Linked DNA regions of Xenopus tropicalis. The protein of the gene in region 1 purifies or fractionates together with the protein of each later gene. This does not show direct contact. Links are inferred from orthologs where the notes say so. Each region holds a gene or a part of one and is shown in the gene's direction. Other genes may lie near its edges. The genes, in order: imp3, utp25 and utp3.

Evidence for each region.
Region 2: the proteins of imp3 (region 1) and utp25 purify together in Homo sapiens (affinity purification with mass spectrometry; 3 studies listed by BioGRID and IntAct, with this or other methods). This does not show direct contact. The link is inferred for Xenopus tropicalis from reciprocal best matches to the Homo sapiens genes IMP3 and UTP25.
Region 3: the proteins of imp3 (region 1) and utp3 purify together in Homo sapiens (affinity purification with mass spectrometry; 3 studies listed by BioGRID and IntAct, with this or other methods). This does not show direct contact. The link is inferred for Xenopus tropicalis from reciprocal best matches to the Homo sapiens genes IMP3 and UTP3.

The regions. Positions count from the first base shown.
Region 1 is NC_030680.2:118,012,781-118,019,698, forward strand, and holds the start of imp3 (U3 small nucleolar ribonucleoprotein protein IMP3), read left to right. Parts: upstream 1-2,203; 5' UTR 2,204-2,367; coding exon 2,368-2,504; intron 2,505-4,109; coding exon 4,110-4,217; intron 4,218-6,918. UniProt on the Homo sapiens protein: Component of the 60-80S U3 small nucleolar ribonucleoprotein (U3 snoRNP). Required for the early cleavages during pre-18S ribosomal RNA processing. Part of the small subunit (SSU) processome, first precursor of the small eukaryotic ribosomal subunit.
Region 2 is NC_030681.2:15,270,907-15,277,252, forward strand, and holds part of utp25 (digestive organ expansion factor homolog), read left to right. Parts: intron 1-280; coding exon 281-475; intron 476-1,158; coding exon 1,159-1,244; intron 1,245-1,888; coding exon 1,889-2,290; intron 2,291-3,957; coding exon 3,958-4,174; intron 4,175-4,372; coding exon 4,373-4,575; intron 4,576-5,138; coding exon 5,139-5,321; intron 5,322-5,670; coding exon 5,671-5,783; intron 5,784-6,346. UniProt on the Homo sapiens protein: Component of the ribosomal small subunit processome for the biogenesis of ribosomes, functions in pre-ribosomal RNA (pre-rRNA) processing. Essential for embryonic development in part through the regulation of p53 pathway.
Region 3 is NC_030683.2:94,842,241-94,848,586, forward strand, and holds the end of utp3 (something about silencing protein 10), read left to right. Parts: intron 1-62; coding exon 63-134; intron 135-1,370; coding exon 1,371-1,411; intron 1,412-1,609; coding exon 1,610-1,706; intron 1,707-3,525; coding exon 3,526-3,666; intron 3,667-4,414; coding exon 4,415-4,539; intron 4,540-4,967; coding exon 4,968-5,025; intron 5,026-5,593; coding exon 5,594-5,701; intron 5,702-5,941; coding exon 5,942-6,031; 3' UTR 6,032-6,090; downstream 6,091-6,346. UniProt on the Homo sapiens protein: Essential for gene silencing: has a role in the structure of silenced chromatin. Plays a role in the developing brain. Part of the small subunit (SSU) processome, first precursor of the small eukaryotic ribosomal subunit.

The DNA.
Region 1 (6,918 bases):
TTGGTGCTTTTAAACTGCAACCAAACCCCAAATAAAATATGGCTCATTTAAATAGCCTTGCAGCAGGACATTACAATGTACTTCCTATAGCCACAGTCCCTTGCTGCTTAAGTTAGAGACTCCTAACTTTTCTTCCAATATGGACCTTCACCTCCATACCCTCCATGGTATTCCACATGTGCCCAGCTTCCCAGCACCCCAGGGAAGTGCAACCAACATGCTCAGTGCCAGAGACTTGGAATAGGATGTGACTGGAGGAACACAGAAGAAAGTTTTTGATGTCATTGTTGCTGTAACTTTATCTGAAATGGGCTGCTGAAAATGGAAAATTGCACAGTACTAGTGGACTCAACCAGGATAAATTTAAAAGGAATCTAAATAAAACGTAAATTTGCTCAGAGTTATCTCCTGAGCACTTTTGCATTTACATACATAATCTATTTTTTGTGTTTTTTTTATATTTGCAGTTTTTAGACATATATATCAGAGTGACACCAACCCTACCTTTCTATGCACTTTAAATGTACTTCATGTATCCAGTTAACCCTATGGTTGCTGAATGCACAGCTGTGCCAAAAGCCTGCAAACTGCTAATAAATGTAACTTGCAAAAGTGCTCAGAGAACTGCTGTAAGTGTTCATCAATTGTTTTTTGGGGATTCAATACCCTTTCAATATTGTGTTTGAAGCTCAGAAAGACAAAGCAGTTTGTAATGTCCCAATACTTTTTGCATATATCCTAGAATCGCAATTTTCATTGGTCCCAATCAGGTGGTGTCCGTTAAAAAACTTAAAGTACAGTGATAACTCTCATCCAAAACAACTACAGTTGTTAAATATCCCTAATTTCCATAGACAGTACAGGTATGGGATCCCTTATCTGGAAACCCGTTATCCAGAAAGCTCCAAATTACGGAAAGTCCAACTCCCATAGACTCAATTTTAATCAAATAATTCAGAATTTTAAAACTGATTTCCTTTTTTTCTGTAATAATAAAACAGTACCTTGTACTTGATCCCAACTAAGATATAAATAATTCTTATTGGATGCAAAACAAGCCTATTGGGTTTAAAAAATGTTTTCTTGATTTTTTAGTAGACTTAACGAACTGCATACAAGTCCCTTCACCTGGTTTCTCATACCCCCTTCCTCTTTTAGATCATAAGCTCTATTGAGCAGGTATCTCTTTACTTCTCATATTGGTTATATATTTTTTGTTTTATGTAATCTATGGGGCACATTTACTTATCCACGAATGCTCTGAGCGTTCGTTCAATTGTATTTTCCGCAACTTTTTCGTACCTTGCGCGACTTTTTCGTACCTTGCGCGACTATTTTCTATATTTAGCGCGAAAAAATCAGATCAGTTTGCCCGCTGTTTACAATCGTTCGGTACGAAAATTTTGTGACTTTCAGATCGCCAATACGTTATTATCGTGACAAATACGATTTTTTCGTAAGCATTTTCGTGATATTTGCGATCTTCAGAAATTTGCGTTTCCAATCTGAATTTTTCCCATTCGGGATTCGAAACTCGTCTTTTGATAAATCTGCCCCTATATGTTAGATGTATGCACACCCTTCCACAGGGCCAAACTGGAATGTGCAGGGCCCACCAGGGCTGCCACTTCAGGGGCCCACCACTCCCTCTAGGGGCCCCTGCCATCCTCCCAAACCCCCCCCCCCACTATGCAGGTATACCTCATAGCAACCTTGCTGCAATAGGGGGTCTGGGTTAGCAGGGCTCACTGGGTTTTTTTCCAGTCTGATCCTGCCCTTCTATTATACAGCAATGCAGAATATGCTGGTGCTATATAAATAAGTATTAATAACAATAAAAGTGTTTCAGTATATTGCCACATATTTATTTATATGCTTGTAGGGCAGCAGCACTATGACCAGTCATTGTTAGTTCATAGTATCTGTTTACTGATAGTTTCACTCTATCATCTGTAGTCACTGAAAATGTGGCAATAAATGCAGTTATATAGTTAAAATCTGTAAAAAATTTAGCATGCACGTCTAGGTTTGTCATATACTGTTAGGTGCTCAAAACAGTACATATATTACAACAGTGTACTTGGAAATGATGTTGAAAGATATTAACCACCCCTTGTCATTAACAGCTGGGAAATAGTAACGGTATGAGATATGGTACAGCGTATACAGTAACTCCATCAAGCCTCAGCAATACGCATGCGCTCAGCTGTCCAAGGAGGCCCCGCCCTCTACCCGTGACCTCACAGAGCTTTCCGGTACCGATCCCTGCTTCTGCCTCACAGAGGGGAACAAGCGGTACCCCGGGCCCGCAGCATAAACGTATCTTTCCGCCCTGCTTCTCTCCTTCGCCTTTGTAACTCACGCGAAATGGTTCGCAAGTTAAAGTATCACGAGCAGAAGCTGCTGAAAAAGGTAGACTTTATTAACTGGGAGGTGGATAATAACATCCATGAAGTCAAAGTGCTGCGAAAATACCATTTGGATAAGCGAGAAGACTATACTAAGTAAGTGTCGCCTAACTATGTCAAAGCGAAATCATTACAGCTATGTTTCATTCCGATATGTTGTTTACAGAATGGCGATTAGAGTGTATAAATACCTCTCGTACACGTGTGAAACGGGCGCAGCCATGACACTTTCACCATGACAACAATATGGCCTACTTCCGGGAACGCAGAGGCTCTTGTTAACAGCTGAACTCAGTCTTGTTATGTTTATTAAACATGCTGACCGAAACACATGACAAATCAGAGACACTTTTTAAAATGTAATTAGCAAGGCTGGTCTAATGGCAATCAGTGTTTAAATACAAGAATAGATTGAAGATCCTTCAAGGATAGAAAATTGCTTTTTGTATTAGAAGGGTTCCTTATTTTTCTAATAGTAACATATTTATATAGTAATATCAGTGTGATGGTGCCTTAGATTGAAACACTGCTGATGAAATATATTGATGGGGTGATTAATTCTGTTGCTGTACAGTGGTATATTGCATTGCTTACAGAGGCTGAAAATGTTGACTTTCACTGAAATCTCAGTGGTCCCAGATGCATACTGTTGTGTGACATGTGTTTACATTACTTAATATCTTATATCAGGGGTCCCCAACATTGTTACCTGTGAGCCACATTCAGGTGTAAAAAGTGAAACCCAAGCATGACAAATTTACCTGGGCATACCAAATAAGGGCTGTGATTGGTTATTTGGTTGCTCCTATGTGAACTGGCAGCCTACAGGTGGATTTTATGGAGACCAAAACTTACTCCAAGCCTTGAGTTAAAAAAAATAAGAACCTCCTTTAAGGCCCTGGGAGCTTCTTCAATCAAGGGTTGGTGAGCAACATGTTGTTCTTGAGCTACTGGTTGGGGACCACTGCCTTATATGATGCATGATCCCTATTATTCATTTGCTTCCACAAGTAGGTTTGCCACTTGACCAGTAAAAATAATGCTTGATGCCAAAAGCCCAGTAAATGTCCTTTGTGTCATTAGGCTTTAGGGCTATAGCATGGGGCAAGTTGGTATTTAATACACACTGCCCAGCAGAATGGCACTTGCCATTCTTTCAACATATTGATATGCACACTTTTTTGACAGTTTGAGCAATGCTACGTGTATAGCTTGAGGTGAGGCATGTGAACACCTTCTGTTTTCAGAAGACATTTCTCCACATTTCTTTATTTAGAGGACCTTTTGGCCCTTCTAACCCTAACCTTGCTTTCCAAGTTTTATCCTATCAGAAACCATATTCCAGTATTTTGTGCTAATGAGATCTTAGATGATGGAAAATATCAAGAGCATGTAGTACTTTTCAGGCAAGAGACTAGAAGTGTTAACCTCATCCCTTAAATAGTGGGTTTATATGAAATGTACTTGCTGCAAGCTTGATTAGTAATCAAATAATGCATGAATGCTTAAAAGAGTGTTGTCTTCTGTATGCATTTCTATGCAATGTCACCATGTTTATTTATGAACAAGGTTTGCATCAAACTTTAACAAAGAAACATGCTCATAACTGTTCCTTTATATTTCCTTTATTGCAGTGCCTATTTTGTGTTGGCTATAGGGGTCTAATAGTTCACTTATTCTTGCTATTCATTTGTCCTGTAGGTACAACAAACTCAGTAGAAATATCCGAGAACTTGCCCAAAAAATTAGAGACCTGGATGAAAAAGATAAATTTCGTGTCCAAAGTACTGCAAAGCTCCTAGAGAAACTGTAAGTATGAAATGAAGTTTTATTAGCCCCAATGGATAGGCTGCAAATTTAAATATATCCTTTATATACATTTATAGGTATTTATTTTCCATTGTGTGGGTGCTGCCAGCACTCTACATCTTGTCGCGTCATTTTTATTAAATAGGTATATGAAGTATAGATTTTGAACCATACATATTTTGAATTTGCACTTGCATTTAGCTCTTGAACAACGGTTTGGAGTGTATTGACCACTTTTTTATGCAGGCCAAATGCCTACAGAATGATTTAGGCAGTCGGATGACCGTAAGCACCTATAAGGTATAATAAGCAGCCCCACCTCTGTTGCTCCTTGGGCAGTCAGATCTGTATTTGGCTTGCTGCTCTAGGTCAAAAATACAGCACTTTTTCAAAACGGGTAAGGAAAATGTGCAAGGGTGGGAAAGCCATCTTCAAATATTAAGTTTTAGTTCACCTTTATTCTTGGTGTGCCCCCCATAAACTTGTATTCTGTAGGAAGATAAGCCAAACTTCCACATGGTTTTACCTCTTATTTGATGTTCTCTCTTTTTGAAAAACATGTTGTAATTGGAATTGTTTATTCTTATTAAGGACAGACTTCACTCAAGGACAGGCAAGACATAATTAAACAAAAGATAATTAAATAATTAAGACATTTATTCGGATTGTGCATTGAACTTTTTTTTGGTTTGTGTGTTGCAATACTGGCCAACACAACTCTTTGGGAACACAACCTGATGGTAGGTATGGCTTGGGTGTAAGAGTTCCCTTATCTGGCATTTGTTAGAGGGTCACTGCGAAAGTACTTTGGTGTCTGTTTCTACAACATGGTGCATCATCTTTAGTATACAATATCTAAATTACACAGTGTTACTTTCTGTCTGTTTTGGGAGCCAATTCTAGAATGTTATCATGTATGGCAGCTTGTTCTTTGTATAGCAGATAGACGGTTGTCAAAATTCAGCATTAGGACCAATGCAGGAGGAGAAGAGGGCCTAATCAATAGAGCTTACAATCTTAAAGGAGAAGATGGTATAAGACACCAGGTGTGGAAATGTGCAAGATCAAGAGTTGACACAGAGAGAGGTATTATACTTGGCAGGTGGCAGTGAGCATATAGAGTATACTGTGGAAATCTAGGCACCTTGCATCTGATTCATCTTTGAAAATGTACATAGCCACTTGCTTATACTGTCCTAGTGAGGCGATTAGAAATGGTTATAACTATTGTTGATCATGTAGGTAATGAACTCCAGATGACTTGTTCCTCTTTCCAGAAAGATAAGATATAGCCTACGAATTCCTGTCAGTCCTCATACTGTTTATTTCTGTTATATGCAGCTGTTAGCAGAGCAAACAGTAGGGATTTATAATGTCATCTCCTAAGGCCAATAGCGCTGCCCACTCACTGTGCTAACCTTCTAATTTATGATCATCGTAACTCAGGTGCTTGTCTGGATACTCATTAAAACTCTTTTCTGTACAGAAGCTTGTCCTACCCTACATAATCACATCCCTATTTTATCGTGGGAAATTGGACACGATTAGGACACATGATACGGCCATTCCAATGAAAATGTCATCTCCGAGAATGGATTGGCATTCACAAACAAAGTATGCCATGGGAAAATCTCTAAATTGCACAAGGATGTGTTAATTATTATTATGTGCACATATATTATATTTTGTTTATGTGTATATATGGACATAGCATCAGAGCTTCTGTTCTTGGGCAATATTGTATTAGGCATTTTGCTAGCAGATACTTAGAATTCCATTCAAAACTTTGTTGACTTGTATTCGTGAGTCGCTTCCATGTATAATATGACATATATATTATATATAATTCCTTCAAAAACACATGACATACTACCTAAGGCCATGAACTCTAAAAATAAAACTGGATCCTTTGTATTTAATAAGCAAACTTAGGTATTTTAGAATACTTCAAGTTGTTAATTATGTAAAAAATCAAATACTTATATGGGTGGCGGGGGTGGGAAGCAATATATGTTTTTAATGGTAAATCTTACCTAGATGGGTCACTTTTCTAATTATAGTGAAGCCTCAATTTTGCATCCTCTGATTTTAAGTGTTACCTCATATTACACCAATATATAATACATAATACCTTTTCTTCTGATTTTCATTGATTTTACAGTTTTTTCAGGTCCTGTACATAGGCATTGACTTGGGCCTTAAACACGTACTTGCTGATAACCTCTCTTTACTTACTGAGAAGCTGCCCACTAGAAAAATATTTTTATTGTTTTAATACAGTACAGGTATGGGACCTGTTATCCAGAATGCTTGGGACCTGGGGTTTTCCGGATAAAGTATCTTTTTGTAATTTGGATCTCCATAACTTAAGTCTGCTAAAAATTATTTAAATATTAAATAAACCCAATAGGCTTGTTTTGCCTCCAATGAGGGTTAATTCTAACTTAGTTGGGATCAAGTACAAGGTTCTGTTTTATTATTAGAGAGAAAGGAAATCATTTTAAAAAAATGTATTTATATGCTTATAATGGAGTCTATGGCAGATGGCCTTTCTGTAATTTGGAACATTCTGGATAATGGGTTTCCGGATAAGGGATCCCATACCTGTATTAATATAACTGGAGTAGAAGGATACTGGCAAGGAAAGATTATGGTGATAACTGACCCCTATGTTTTGGAGGAGGTAGGGTAGAAAAGGAGA
Region 2 (6,346 bases), on another chromosome or scaffold:
TTCAAAGCAGAAGAGAAAGGCAAATCATTCAAAAACTATAAAAAAAAAAAAGTAATGAAGACCAGTTGCAAAGTTGCTAGGAAATGGGACATTCTGAAATATACTTAAAGGTGAACCACCCCTTTACGTGTTACTAGTATAATTTCATTTCCTTGTGTTACTGGCCCTTTTAAGACTTTAGTTGGATTAACAAAACAAAATGCTTTTTCCCCCCAAATATAACATTTCTAAAGTTTTTCTGTCACCTATAAAAGCCAAAAAATTGGTGTCATTTTTGCAGAGTTACCTGTTGAGGCGGAGAAAGCGGGAGACAATGAGGAGGAGGAGAGAGCTGGGGATCCAGCTGCAGAAGAAGCCGGGGAATTCACTGATGCCAAACATGAATCGAAGTTCAGTTTAGAAACCAATTTTATGGATGAGGACAATGAGGATTCCAAGGATGAGAGTGTCCCCTGTCCCACAGTGGCTACAGAAGGTAACGTTGGCTGTCTCGTGTCTGCTGATGCCTGGTTTGGGGCTGTGTGGGGCATTTGCTCTGTACAGACTGGCACGCAATGAGTCCCAGTGCCCATCCATAGGGGCAAGCAATAAGCAAAATTGGTGTCATTGTGTTGACACCAAAGTGCCAGTTCTTTTCCATGCTTTGTGCTTCCAATTGGCTGGTACAAAATAATTAGCATGATGGGCGCAAAGAGAACCCCACTGTAACCTTAGCCCTGTGCCCCATATCATGGTATTTAAGTCATTAATGGTATAACTGGTGTTTTTTTCATCTGTCTAGAACTGGAAAGAGTTTACATTCTCAGTTACCCTTTAATTGCCTACACGTTGTCATACTAAAGGATCCCTATTAGTATAATATGATAACATTTCTATTTATTTTATCCACGTTTGCCTTTGTTCAGTGAGGTTTTAGTACTCGCTAGCCTTGTCTGAACAGAGCAGTTATACAGCACTCCTTATGGAACTGCCTGATGCTCATAAGAGTAGGGGGCAGAGTAGGGGGCAGAGTACTATTCAGTTGGCTAAAAAAACTGTTCATCATCTGTAAATCTATTGCCTCTTCTAATGGGTATTTTATATTTGCTGCTGCTTTGGAGTTGGGGGTCAGTAAATATGTAGCAGATTCTGACTGATGCCTTTTTTTCTTCTTTACAGACCCATTTGTACAGCATGTTGGCAGGGAACTGGAAGAGCAAGACATCAGTAAGATAGGAACAAATCCTAAAAAAGCATCACTCAAGGTATGGGGACTAACTGGCTTCAATTAAAATTTTGGTTTCTAAAATAAAAAAAAAAAACAGAAAAGAACAGAAGAAGAAGGAAAGGTAAAAACTAAGTAAGCTTTATCAGAAAGGTCTATGTAAATACAGCCATAAGCACTCACAGAAACGCTGCACCGAGTCCTCTATCAAAAGAAACACAGGATTTCTTGTCTTCTTTTGTGTATACATGTTCTTCAGTATCAGGCTTCCTGTATCAGAAAAATCCTTCATTCCTGGGGCCAGAGTCTGCCCTCTCTCCTGCTCCCCCCTCCCATAAAAATTCACTCCCCCTCTCATCAGAATGTGTGATCTGAGCTACCAGCCCCTAAAGCTGCAGCAGGAAACTACTGAGACCAAGCTAAAATGGCAGCTGCTATCTTAAGTAAATGGAGGGAGCTTCTAGGGCTCTTTACTCAGGTATGGTAAAGCTTTCTGCAGAATAAATATTACATTCTAGCTGGCACTTATGTGGCTAATCTATTGTTAATAAATGCTAAAATGACTTTCCTTCTCCATATATTTATATGACAGAACCATTGGGTTATTGTCTCACTCATTTGTATACCTGACGTTGTATGTAATTGTTTCATTCCTTGGCATCCCTTGTTCCCTTTTGGTTTCAGTGGCCGGCCTTGGGTCAGCTGGGTGTCTCGAGCTCTCTTCCTCAGCTCCAGCCCCTAAAAGTCGAGAAGGAAACTGACCTACAGAAGCTGTATTTGCACAAGCCGCTCTTCTCCACGTGGCCCAAAGTGAACAGTCCCTTCCTGTCTGTTGATAAGGAACAGAATTTCACCCCCCTACAGAGAGAGCTTTTCAGTATCATGAACTCCTACAGGGACTTGTTCTTCCCGGCACGGAGCCCTACAGCGCAGGGCGAAGAGATCAGACATGTGTACTGTCTCCATGCGCTGAACCATGTTCTGAAAGCAAACGCCCAGGTATTGAATAACAACTCTCAGAAAAGAGATCAAAAACCCGGACTGGATGAAGAAGACCTAAGGGACCAGGGCCTGACCAGACCAAAGGTATCACATGAATGGATTACTTTTTATTAAAGACCAGTGCCCGTACTCTTAAAGGACATGTTAACCCCCCACAAATAAATTTAATCAGTGACCAGCCTCTTTGAAATCTTAAATAGCTGCCCTCTGGGTGTCCAAAGGTTAATAGTAAGGCTGCAGCATCCCTTTAATCACTTAGGATTCCTTCTTCTCCTGTAACTCACTTGGCCCCTCCCTCAGGAACTGACTTTGGCTCTTGGCTACTGAGCATGCTCAGTTCTTCTTAACTCAGGTTACCAAAGACACCCTTCAGTGTAGCAGCCAATGACGAGATGGCGCTGCTGGTTTCCATAGAAACTCTGCTCTAGCTGTGCCCTCTGCTGGAGATATTTCTTCTAACCTCCTCTCCTGAGCTCAGCTTAACCATTACTCAAATGCTCAATCCAAGTAGGACTTTTTTATCAATGTAGGTTCTGCCTGTGTAAGCCTGCATTCTTCATTGCATGAACTTGCACGTGCTGTTTGGAGATGTAAATGTCACTGAAGATGTGTGAGAGTGAAAATGGCCACTGGGTGAAAGCTGCTGTTTGTTTTAGGAAAATGTTATGTGCTGGAGAGCGGAGGGGGTATATGCAGTACAAGTGATGTGGTTAGTGTGGGGAAGATATGCCTAACTTATATAGTATCTAGTAGAATTAAGTCTAAAACAACTGGACTTTTCCTTGAAAACATTTCACCTTTCATCCGAGTGGCTTCTTCAGTTCCAATGACTGGTAGGGAATTCCCCGGCATTTAAACCCTTGAGGGGGTAAGTACAGTCACAGACATCCCTCAAGGGTTTAAATGCTGGGGAATTCCCTACCAGTCATTGGAACTGAAGAAGCCACTCGGATTTCAAGGAAAAACTCAGAAAAGTCCAGTTGTTTTTAGACTTAATTCTACTAGATACTGTATATCATGACCTGGATGAATGAGAATCTTCATAGGCCTTACTTATAAACATGGTAGGAAAATGTAGGGTTTGCATGTGCTGTAATAATAATAATATTGCATATTGGGTAAAGAAATATGTATTAAGGTGCCTCCAATCTATTGGTTTTCTTTCCACCGGCTATGCAGTATACCATAATACACATTTGAACCAGATAATGACACTGGGTTGCTTTATTGTGCTGGGCCAATCAAAGGTCAGGAGCATATGATACATTGGCCTTGCCATAGGAGTCATCATTTGGTATCCAATAAAATACTCCATATGTACACAGGGTCACAGCAGAAAAATGCTTTCCCACCGTAAGCAACAAATCTCCCCTTCTGCCAACACCCTAACCCAAAAATGTTCTGTTCAGTGTGAGTACAGCTCTCAGGGGCATTGCTGGTCTGAATAAAATGGCTTTAATCCGCTTTAAGAGCCACACATAATTCCTGGCTATACTGTCTATTAGTATTAGTACTATACTGTCTATCAGCTATAGGGAAGGGCAGCCTTTTAATGGGATCTGCGCTGAAGCTACAGGTTGCTGACTTGTACATACATATAGTTTTTTGTTTGGAGGTAGTAAAAAAGCAATGTCCATTTCTTCAATACCATCCTAAAACTGAAAGGGGGACAAAACAAGCATTGTATTGAGTAAACATGTAAAATGAAATCCTTTCCGTTTAAAGACTGCATAGTGTTTTAATGTTTTCAGGTCCTCATTGTTGTGCCGTTCCGAGAATCCGCCTTACGCATAGTGCAGATATTAATAAGCCTGATGGAGGTCGGAGGCAGAAAAGTCGACGTGAGCAATAAGAAGCGGTTCAAGGAAGAATTTGGATCGGAACCCGAAGACAGACCCCCAAACTTGAAGAGGCCTGAAGATTATGAAGCTGTGTTTGCTGGAAACATTGACGATCACTTTAGGATAGGTAAAGCTGTCCTGTTGCACTGGATATTTGTGTTAAACAGGCCCCTCTGTATCATGTTGAATGAGAACCTCCCTTTGCAGCTTGCTGTAGAATGCCCCCCATCATAGTCAAAACGTAGGCAGATCATCCCATTTGGCAATACCGAGTGGTAGTTCATCGGCGGATAGTGATATTATACTCTTGCCAATGTCTTATTAGGAGTGGCCATCTTGCAGAAGAGCATGAGGCTGTACTCTCCATTCTACTCCTCGGACATCATTATCGCCTCCCCCGTTGGCTTGCGTACCATCATTGGCAGCGAGGGGGAGAAGAAAAGGGATTTCGATTTCCTGTCCTCCATAGAGGTTCTCATTCTGGATCAAGCAGATTTGTACCTGATGCAGAACTGGGAGCATGTGTTGGTAAGTCATTTTGGTCACTAGGCTTTTGCATTGTTTGCTGGATCACAAATCACTATTTCATATATATATATATATATATATATATATATATATATATATATATATATATATATATCATAATTTGCATCACAGTGCAAATCATATATAGTTAACCAATCCAATGGTATATAGTGTTCATACATAAAAAAGTCAGTGTGATTTCTCTCTCTCACCAATAGGTGCCAGTATACGCATGTGTGACTTATTCAGTTTGAAATCCATAGAATGTGCATATGGTGTAAACATCTATAACAAAACATAATTTTTTTTTTATATACACAAAATACGATTCCCTTGTATGTCTCTCATTTCAAACTTATGTTAGCCACCTTGACTACGTATTCACACAGTATATTTAACCTAGGAAACAACCGAGCATTCAGCACCCATCTGGTTTAGAGTGCAGACACACAGCTTGACTTATATATATATATATATATATATATATATATATATATATATATATATGTGTGTGTGTGTGTATTATATTTGTCACTCTCTGATATCATTCCCTTCTGTTGCAGCACCTGATGGCTCACCTTAACCTGCAGCCTACAGACTCTCACGGGGTTGATTTCTCTCGTGTCCGCATGTGGAACCTCAGCAACTGGGCCAAGTACTATCGGCAGACACTGCTGTTCAGCTCCCTGCAGGAGCCCCAAATAAACTCTATATTCAACAAGCATTGCTTTAATTACTGCGGGCAGGTAAGCGCCATCTGTTTAATGTCCTGCCTTTATATTGGGGTACTTTATGTTACTTGCCTTTTGAAAGGTATATTGTTCATTGTGAGGATTTGCACTGGGCACTGATATTGGGCACTGATATTGAAAGGCCAGGTAATTGGTAAACTAGTCTGCACAAGCCTGAAACTGGCAGCAGAGTGAGGAAAGAGCGGGTAGACAAAGCAAGAGGTAAGTGATGTCAAATTTCCTACCCCTATGGGTAGTTTTAGTTTCTCTCATTAAAAAAGAAAATAAATCCTATGTACAGACTGTATGTATTTCCTTATTTAATCACTTATTTATGTAATTGATCGTCTCGATTTTCTTGTAGGTGGCAGTTAGGAACATGCCCGTTACTGGCTCTATCAGTCATGTTGTGGTCCAGCTCCCACACGTCTTCCAGAGATTAGAGGCAGACAGCCTGCTTACTGTTATAGATGCAAGGTAATTGCCCAACTGCCCCAGACTGACAGGGTGCTGGCATCAAAGAACGTTCACCCAGCACACCCTTACCTCCTCCAACAATTCCTACTCGGTGCACAGCCCAGAGAGTCAACACTCCCAACACAGTCCAGCAAAAAATAGTTGACTGGCACAACGAGTACAATGCAAGCGGGGCTTAGCCCCTGCGTGTTTATTAAAAAAATAGCAGCAAAGCATGATGCCTGACGAAGGGGTACACCCCCGAAACGTTGCTGCTATTTTTTGAATAAGGGTGCTGGCATCTCCACTCATTGTCATTATTTAATTGGTACCAGGGCAAAGACATTAAAACCCATAGGACTAAGGCATTAAATTAGTGATATATATGCAACCCTGATGCCACAATATCATGTTCTGGCCCTTTAAACCGTATTGCCTAATCTTTATTAGCTGTTCTGGCGCAGACCTGTGGCATTTCAGTGTATGTCACAGGACCTCCCAGTCCCAGTACTGAAGGTGCAGATACATGGGTCAATACATGAGTAGTTCTTAAGATGCAAATAAAGGGGAGGTGACCCATGATA
Region 3 (6,346 bases), on another chromosome or scaffold:
AATAAAATGGTTAAACAGGATAGATACTAAGACAAACTTTTTTTTTCTTTTTTTTTTATTAGTTGGCAGAAGTAAAAAATGAACTGGAGCCACTACTTAAACTGGTGAAAAATGGAACCATTCCTAAAGGAAAGGTAACAAATAAACATGATGCTGTGCAAAAATATTACTGTTTACCCGTCTAAGAACTCTGGGCCTGCTTGCAGAAATGCAGACATTATGCCTTTCTACTGTTCGGACCTCAGAGCACCTCTGGTATTTTCAGGCTGTGTAGTTTGCGGCCACCAGTAGATCGGAATCAGTGTGAATAGTGTGAATAATCATGTGTGAATAGCAGGGAGAAGAAGTGCGCAATAATTAAGACTTTTTTCTGTGGCATAAATATAAAGAAAGCAGGCTGCTTCCTCTGCAGTGAATCCCCAGCCAGTAGCTTGTGAGCAACATGTTGCTCACCAACCCCCATGGATGTTGCTCTCAGTGCCCCTAAACCAGGTAGTTTTATTTTTTTTTTGAATCCTTGACTTGGTGGCAAGTTTTGGTAGAATAAAAACAAGATTTACTACCAAATAAAGCCTCCTGTAAGCTGATAGTGTGTATAGAGGCTACCTAATAGCCATTCTTAGCTCTTATTTGGCACCTCCATGAACTTTTATGATGTTTGTATTTCTCTCCAAGTCTTTTTACATTTCACTGTGGCTCACAAGTAAGAAAGGTTGGGAACCCCTAAGCTATAGACACTGTAGTCAGTCTCTTCTGGCTTCAGGTACAAACATAATACTACAAATTTCACAGAAAATGTTGTATCTGTATGTCCTGGTCCTTAATGGAACAGCAGCAAGATATAGTGATGCCTTTACTTGTTGGGCATAAGTCCATAGTTTAGATGGTACTGGAGCACTTCCATGTCAGTTGTATGTTAACCCTTCCCCAGTTTTGTGCAAGAAGACCAAATTGTTAGAAATTGTTATATAACCTGGGGATCCCCAACCTTTTTTTTTTTTTTTTACACATAAGCCACACTCAGATGTAAAAAGTGTTGATGAGCCACACAAGCATGAAATCTTTGGGGATGCCAAATAAGGGCTGTGATTGGCTATTCAGTAGCCCCATAATATGGACTGCTAGCCTGCAGGAGGCTCTGCTTGCAATAAAAGTGTGTCTTTGTGCATCCAAAACTTGCCTCCAAGCTAGAAATATAAAAATGGGCACCTATTTTGAAGCCACTGGGAGCATCATCAGAGGGTGGGAAGGAGTGGTGAGCAAGATGTTGCTCGCAAGTCACTGGATGGGGATCAATGTAATGACTTAATAAAGATTTGCGTTTTTGCCTCTTTTCCAAAAGGCATTAACTATTTCCATTTGTTTTCTAGGGAAGTACATATCTTCAGACAAAATACCAGCTATATTTAAAGTAAGGAAACCTTCATGTCAGACGTAGGTAACCTAAGGCACTGTGGGTGTTGTGAAATGTAATCCCCCACTAAGAGCATTATGGGAGGTGCCATCTAACAGTATCTAAAGTGCTGCAGGTTGCATTCCCCCTTGCACCCTTCTAAAAGTTTGTTTTGTCTTCATTGTGAATTTGGTTATATTGCTCTTTTATTTGTAGTTACTGCACAAACATCAGCTATTACTTAATCCTGAAAGCCAAGAGAATCTCCATCCATGGTCATCCCGTAATAGAAAGGCTTGTAACTTATAGAAATGTAAGTAAAAGATAAACCAATTTGATTTTCAACTTTTTATTTTTTTAGTAAGCTGTAAGACTAGAAAAAGGCATGGAAAATATAATAAAAAGATAAGTGATTTATATAGTAAATAATGTACCCCCTGTTTAAAATATAAGGATATTACAATTCCGAGGTGACTTCTAATATCCTCATATTTTACAGTAGGGGTAACTTTATTATAATACACCAGTTTCAGTGAGTCATGTGACAGAAACTACATCTCTAAGCACTGTTTATAACTTATGACATCGCTAAGCTCCATTTATAAGAATATTTATGGGATATTTATGGCTCTTGTCTATTATATAGAGACCTATTAGCCTCATGCTAGTGCTAAATTAAAGACTTAACTTGTGTACAAATTGTTTTCTCAGTTCTGAGTCCTCTCCTAATGTATGTATCAGTTGATTTTGGTGTTTTGCAATAGAAAGTAAAAACACTTTCTGTATAAGGAACATTAAACATGTTCTGATGTGTTTTTTTTTTTTTTTTTTGGCATGAGCCCATTTTTTCTATCATGCCTGTACCCAAGGCACAGCGATGGGGTGCCATACACAGATGAGAAGCAACATGGATAAATTCACCAGCATTCAGAGAGGTGCTGCGGGTATAGGCAATATAGGGAAGAAGGGCTCTGTCAACTCCCCAGAAGGTGAAACCGTCAAAATCTTGCACGCCTAGTTAGTAATTCATTTAGATGCATGCTGTATAGCTGCACAGAAATCAGTTCAGTTTGCAGCATGCTTCTAAATTAATTAACTAATTAATTAAAGGGGTGAGGCAGCAACACTATGAGAACTGCACAGCTAAGGCTGGTGCCACACGTAGCGTATTTTCGGCAAGTGGAAAAAAGCATGCCGAGAATTCGCCACTTCTGCTTGTGCCTGTACCGGGAAGCACTGAATCTGCCTAGGTGCAGGCATATGCAGGCAATATCTGCCAACAAACACAAGACTTTGTGCTGGATATTGGCTACATGTGCCTGCACCTGTGCGGATTCAGTGCTTGGGGTACAGGCACAAGCAGAAGAAGAGTTTTTACACTTGCCGACAATACATTATATGAGGCATCAGCCTAACACTGATAAGAATTCGTTTAAAGTGCACCTATCACCCCCATATTGTATTCTCCATCGGAGGTACGGGCTATTAGAGCCCACACTCCGGTTGGGGGAAACAATAATTTTTCTTTAAAAAAAAAAAGAAATAGCCCCAGCCAGTGCTAGTCTCCCTGTGCTGGGAGGGAGCTCCCCGTGAGGGCAGCCGTGTTGTTTGGCGCACATAGGCATAATGAGCAAATCTTCCCCCACTTGCTTATTATGCACTTGCACCAGACGTAGTAGTGGTGAATTCACCTACATGACACACATGCACATAATGAACGAGTTTTGGTACTCATTTTGCGCTTGTGTGTGTGTCACAAAATGGCTGCTCACTCCTGGTATGAGTAGGCTGGCGCTGGCATGGATTTTTTTTTTTTTTTTTTTTTTTTTTTTTTTTTTTGGTTGGCAGGGATGGTTTCCTCCACTGGAGGTGCAGGCTAATAGAGGCCATACTCGGGTTGGGGGAAACAATTGGGTGTGGGGTAATAGGTGCCCTTTAAGCAGAAAAGCAATGTAATATACCAAGAGGAGTTGTTAAGTGGTAACCACTCTGCACCAAGCTTAACCTAATGTCTTCATGCATGTTATCCAACTGATTTAACACAACTGTTACTATATTCATAATGCATTATACAGTAAATTGTGCTTTTCTTGTAGTGATTGATTAATATTCTTTGTGTTTTATGTTTGAAGCTAATAAACGATTTGAATATTGTGGATCAAAGATTGTCCTCAGAAATCAAGCAACTTCTTACCCAAGATTTCAACGAAACTGAAGTGGGACAAAAAAATTCCTCCAGCTTACCAAAGACTTCTAAGAAAGCTGCCACAAAGGTGAGGGCAGCTAAATTGCTTTGGCAGAAAATGATGCTAAAAGACTCAGTGGGCCTACATTATACACTTTTAATGTCAAATGTGTTTCACTTGAAGGATTTTAACGCTACTAGGCAAACACTGTATAGATTCTGTATGATTTTCTCTCTGAAGGGCTGCAAGGACCTTTTTACAGTTGGCTACTTTAGAGTTTAAAACCCTAGCAACCAGGCAGGCTGGTCCTTTATGGTGGGAAGAAGTTAATTATAAATATTACTTTTTTTTTTATATTTTTCTGCACATGTTAAATTGTTTCTTTGAAGCAGAAGTTCTTTTTTTAGCTGCTTTGTTTAGCCAACTTTTATGTGTTGTCTAAGGCGTATTCCACATGGTATGAATTTTGGGCACTTTGTCTGCCATGGTCTGGCACAGAGATAAAGAATCCAATCACCACTTGCCACCTCCCATTGATTTCCTAGCACTGAACTCATTTGATGTATCATGGGCTTGTCTCAGGCACTCTGATGCTGTGCTAAAAAAAAAAAAAAAAGCAGAGATCAAAACACCTGCAATCTGCCCTGACCTGGGCTGCCCTCAGATCTAGTTCTAACCTCAGTTCTGTCTGCACACAAATGTCATGTACAAGATATTATTATATTGTATATAATGTTTGATTTCTATATCCTGGGGTTGCTGTCCCTTTTTCTTCATTCTATTGCTTTGTTATAGCGATTTTGCTAAATGCTGGCATCTTATGTGTGTTTTACAGAGACCTTTGCCTGACATACAGTATGATGAAGATTCTGACCTTGATGAGGAAGTTGCTCTAAAATACTATAAGGAAATGGAACAGAAATTGCTAGAGAAGAGGAATCGCGGAGAAGAAAATCTTGTGTAAGCAACTTTTTTAGCTTTCATATATACAAGGTTGTGTGTGACATAAGGCAAGGTGAACATATCAAGATGGGCCATTCCTGCAGGTGGCAGTAAATAGGCGCTTGCAGGAAAAGTTCCATGGGCTTTTACAGAGCACATGTAATTTCCAGGATCTGTGAACTCTAATTAGATGCTATGTAAATTAAGAATGTTTATGCCAGGGCCCCAAACATAATGAAAAATAAGTTGATAAAGAAAAAAAAAGTAGCAATTAAATGGAACCTCTCACTCTCTTATTGTAACAGAAAAGGACAACTGTTTAATTATGAGTAAAAAATGAAATGGGATAAAATTTAAAGATCTGACAATTGAACAATGTCTTAGATGATGTATAGGTTACTGCAGACTTGGTGCCATTTCTTAAATACTTTACTCTGTCTTTTCAGTACTGACCTTCCATCTGAGGAACTGGATCCAAATGCAAAAAGAGCTATCACTTATCAGGTAACGCCTCAGATTGCTATGCGTGTGACTGTTGTGTATCTACAGTTGTACAACACTGAGGCTGACTGGGAAACAGTACTTTTCATACTTAGCCTTGTCTGCATTTTGCAGCCCATTAGTATGACCCGTAGTGACCCCTTTGTGATACAGACACTCAATAGGAAACTTGTTTACCAGAGGTTAATAAATACTTGGTATTGATTTCACATTGTTATTGCTAGGTAAAATCAAGCAAAGTATTAGGCTTCACTTGTTAGTTTACTATCCAGTGTTCTTTGGAGAAGGACTAGCTATTTTACAGTTCATAGCCTGTCCTGTGTGCACACATGGGGTGGAAAGAGATCGAAACAGTGTTTTCTTCACTGGTGTTTTTCAACTTGTGCCATTAGCCTTATGTAGAGACCTATGTGAAAGCAAAATAGCAAAAGTTGTTTGACATTAGATTTATGTAGATTTTTTTAAGTGGGGGTACTGAAGATAATGATAAAATCATCATGTATTTAATGCCTATATCTAATCCAATGGTATAGTTCTACTTTCATGTATTTTGGTAATTGTGTTGTTTCAGATTGCAAAGAATAAAGGACTTACACCTAAAAGAAAGAAGCTGGACCGAAATCCCAGAGTTAAACACAGGGAAAAATTCCGACGTGCTAAAATTCGCAGAAAGGGCCAGGTATATCTATTTATTTGCTGGAGAAACTGAATATAATCCTTTTTTATGGGGGGGGTGAAAAAAAAAACAGACATTGCATCCTATAGTACTCATAGGTTTGGGGTGTTTATGTTTAAGACTTGGCTTACCAAACCTGTGACTAGCAATTTGAAATTCAGCATGTGTTGCAAAAGTTTACTAGGTTTAGCTTCTTTAACTTCAAGCATTTGTTTAATGCTTACCCCTACCTTCATCTTTAAGGTCCGTGAGGTGCGTAAAGAAGAAGCCAGATATTCTGGGGAATTGTCTGGAATTCGAGCTGGTGTCAAGAAAAGCATCAAACTTAAGTAAAGAGTTTCAAAGACACGCTACTCGTATATGTATAATAAAGTTTTATTTTTAATCATGTACTTTGGTCTTGTTTTTTTTTTGTTTGTTTTAGGGGAACATTACCAAATTCTTTACATTATGCCAAACAAAAGTTACTAAAAAAAAACCTACCTGTTAAGAAACAATATAATAATTAAAAATTAGTTGAATATCTCACACATACGTAGTGGCACAATTTGGAGCTTGGAGACAATGTCTTTCACTGCTATCTATAGATATATATAATAGATATCTACATGGGTGTCCATGGATGTTGTATTAGTATTCTTAAAAAAA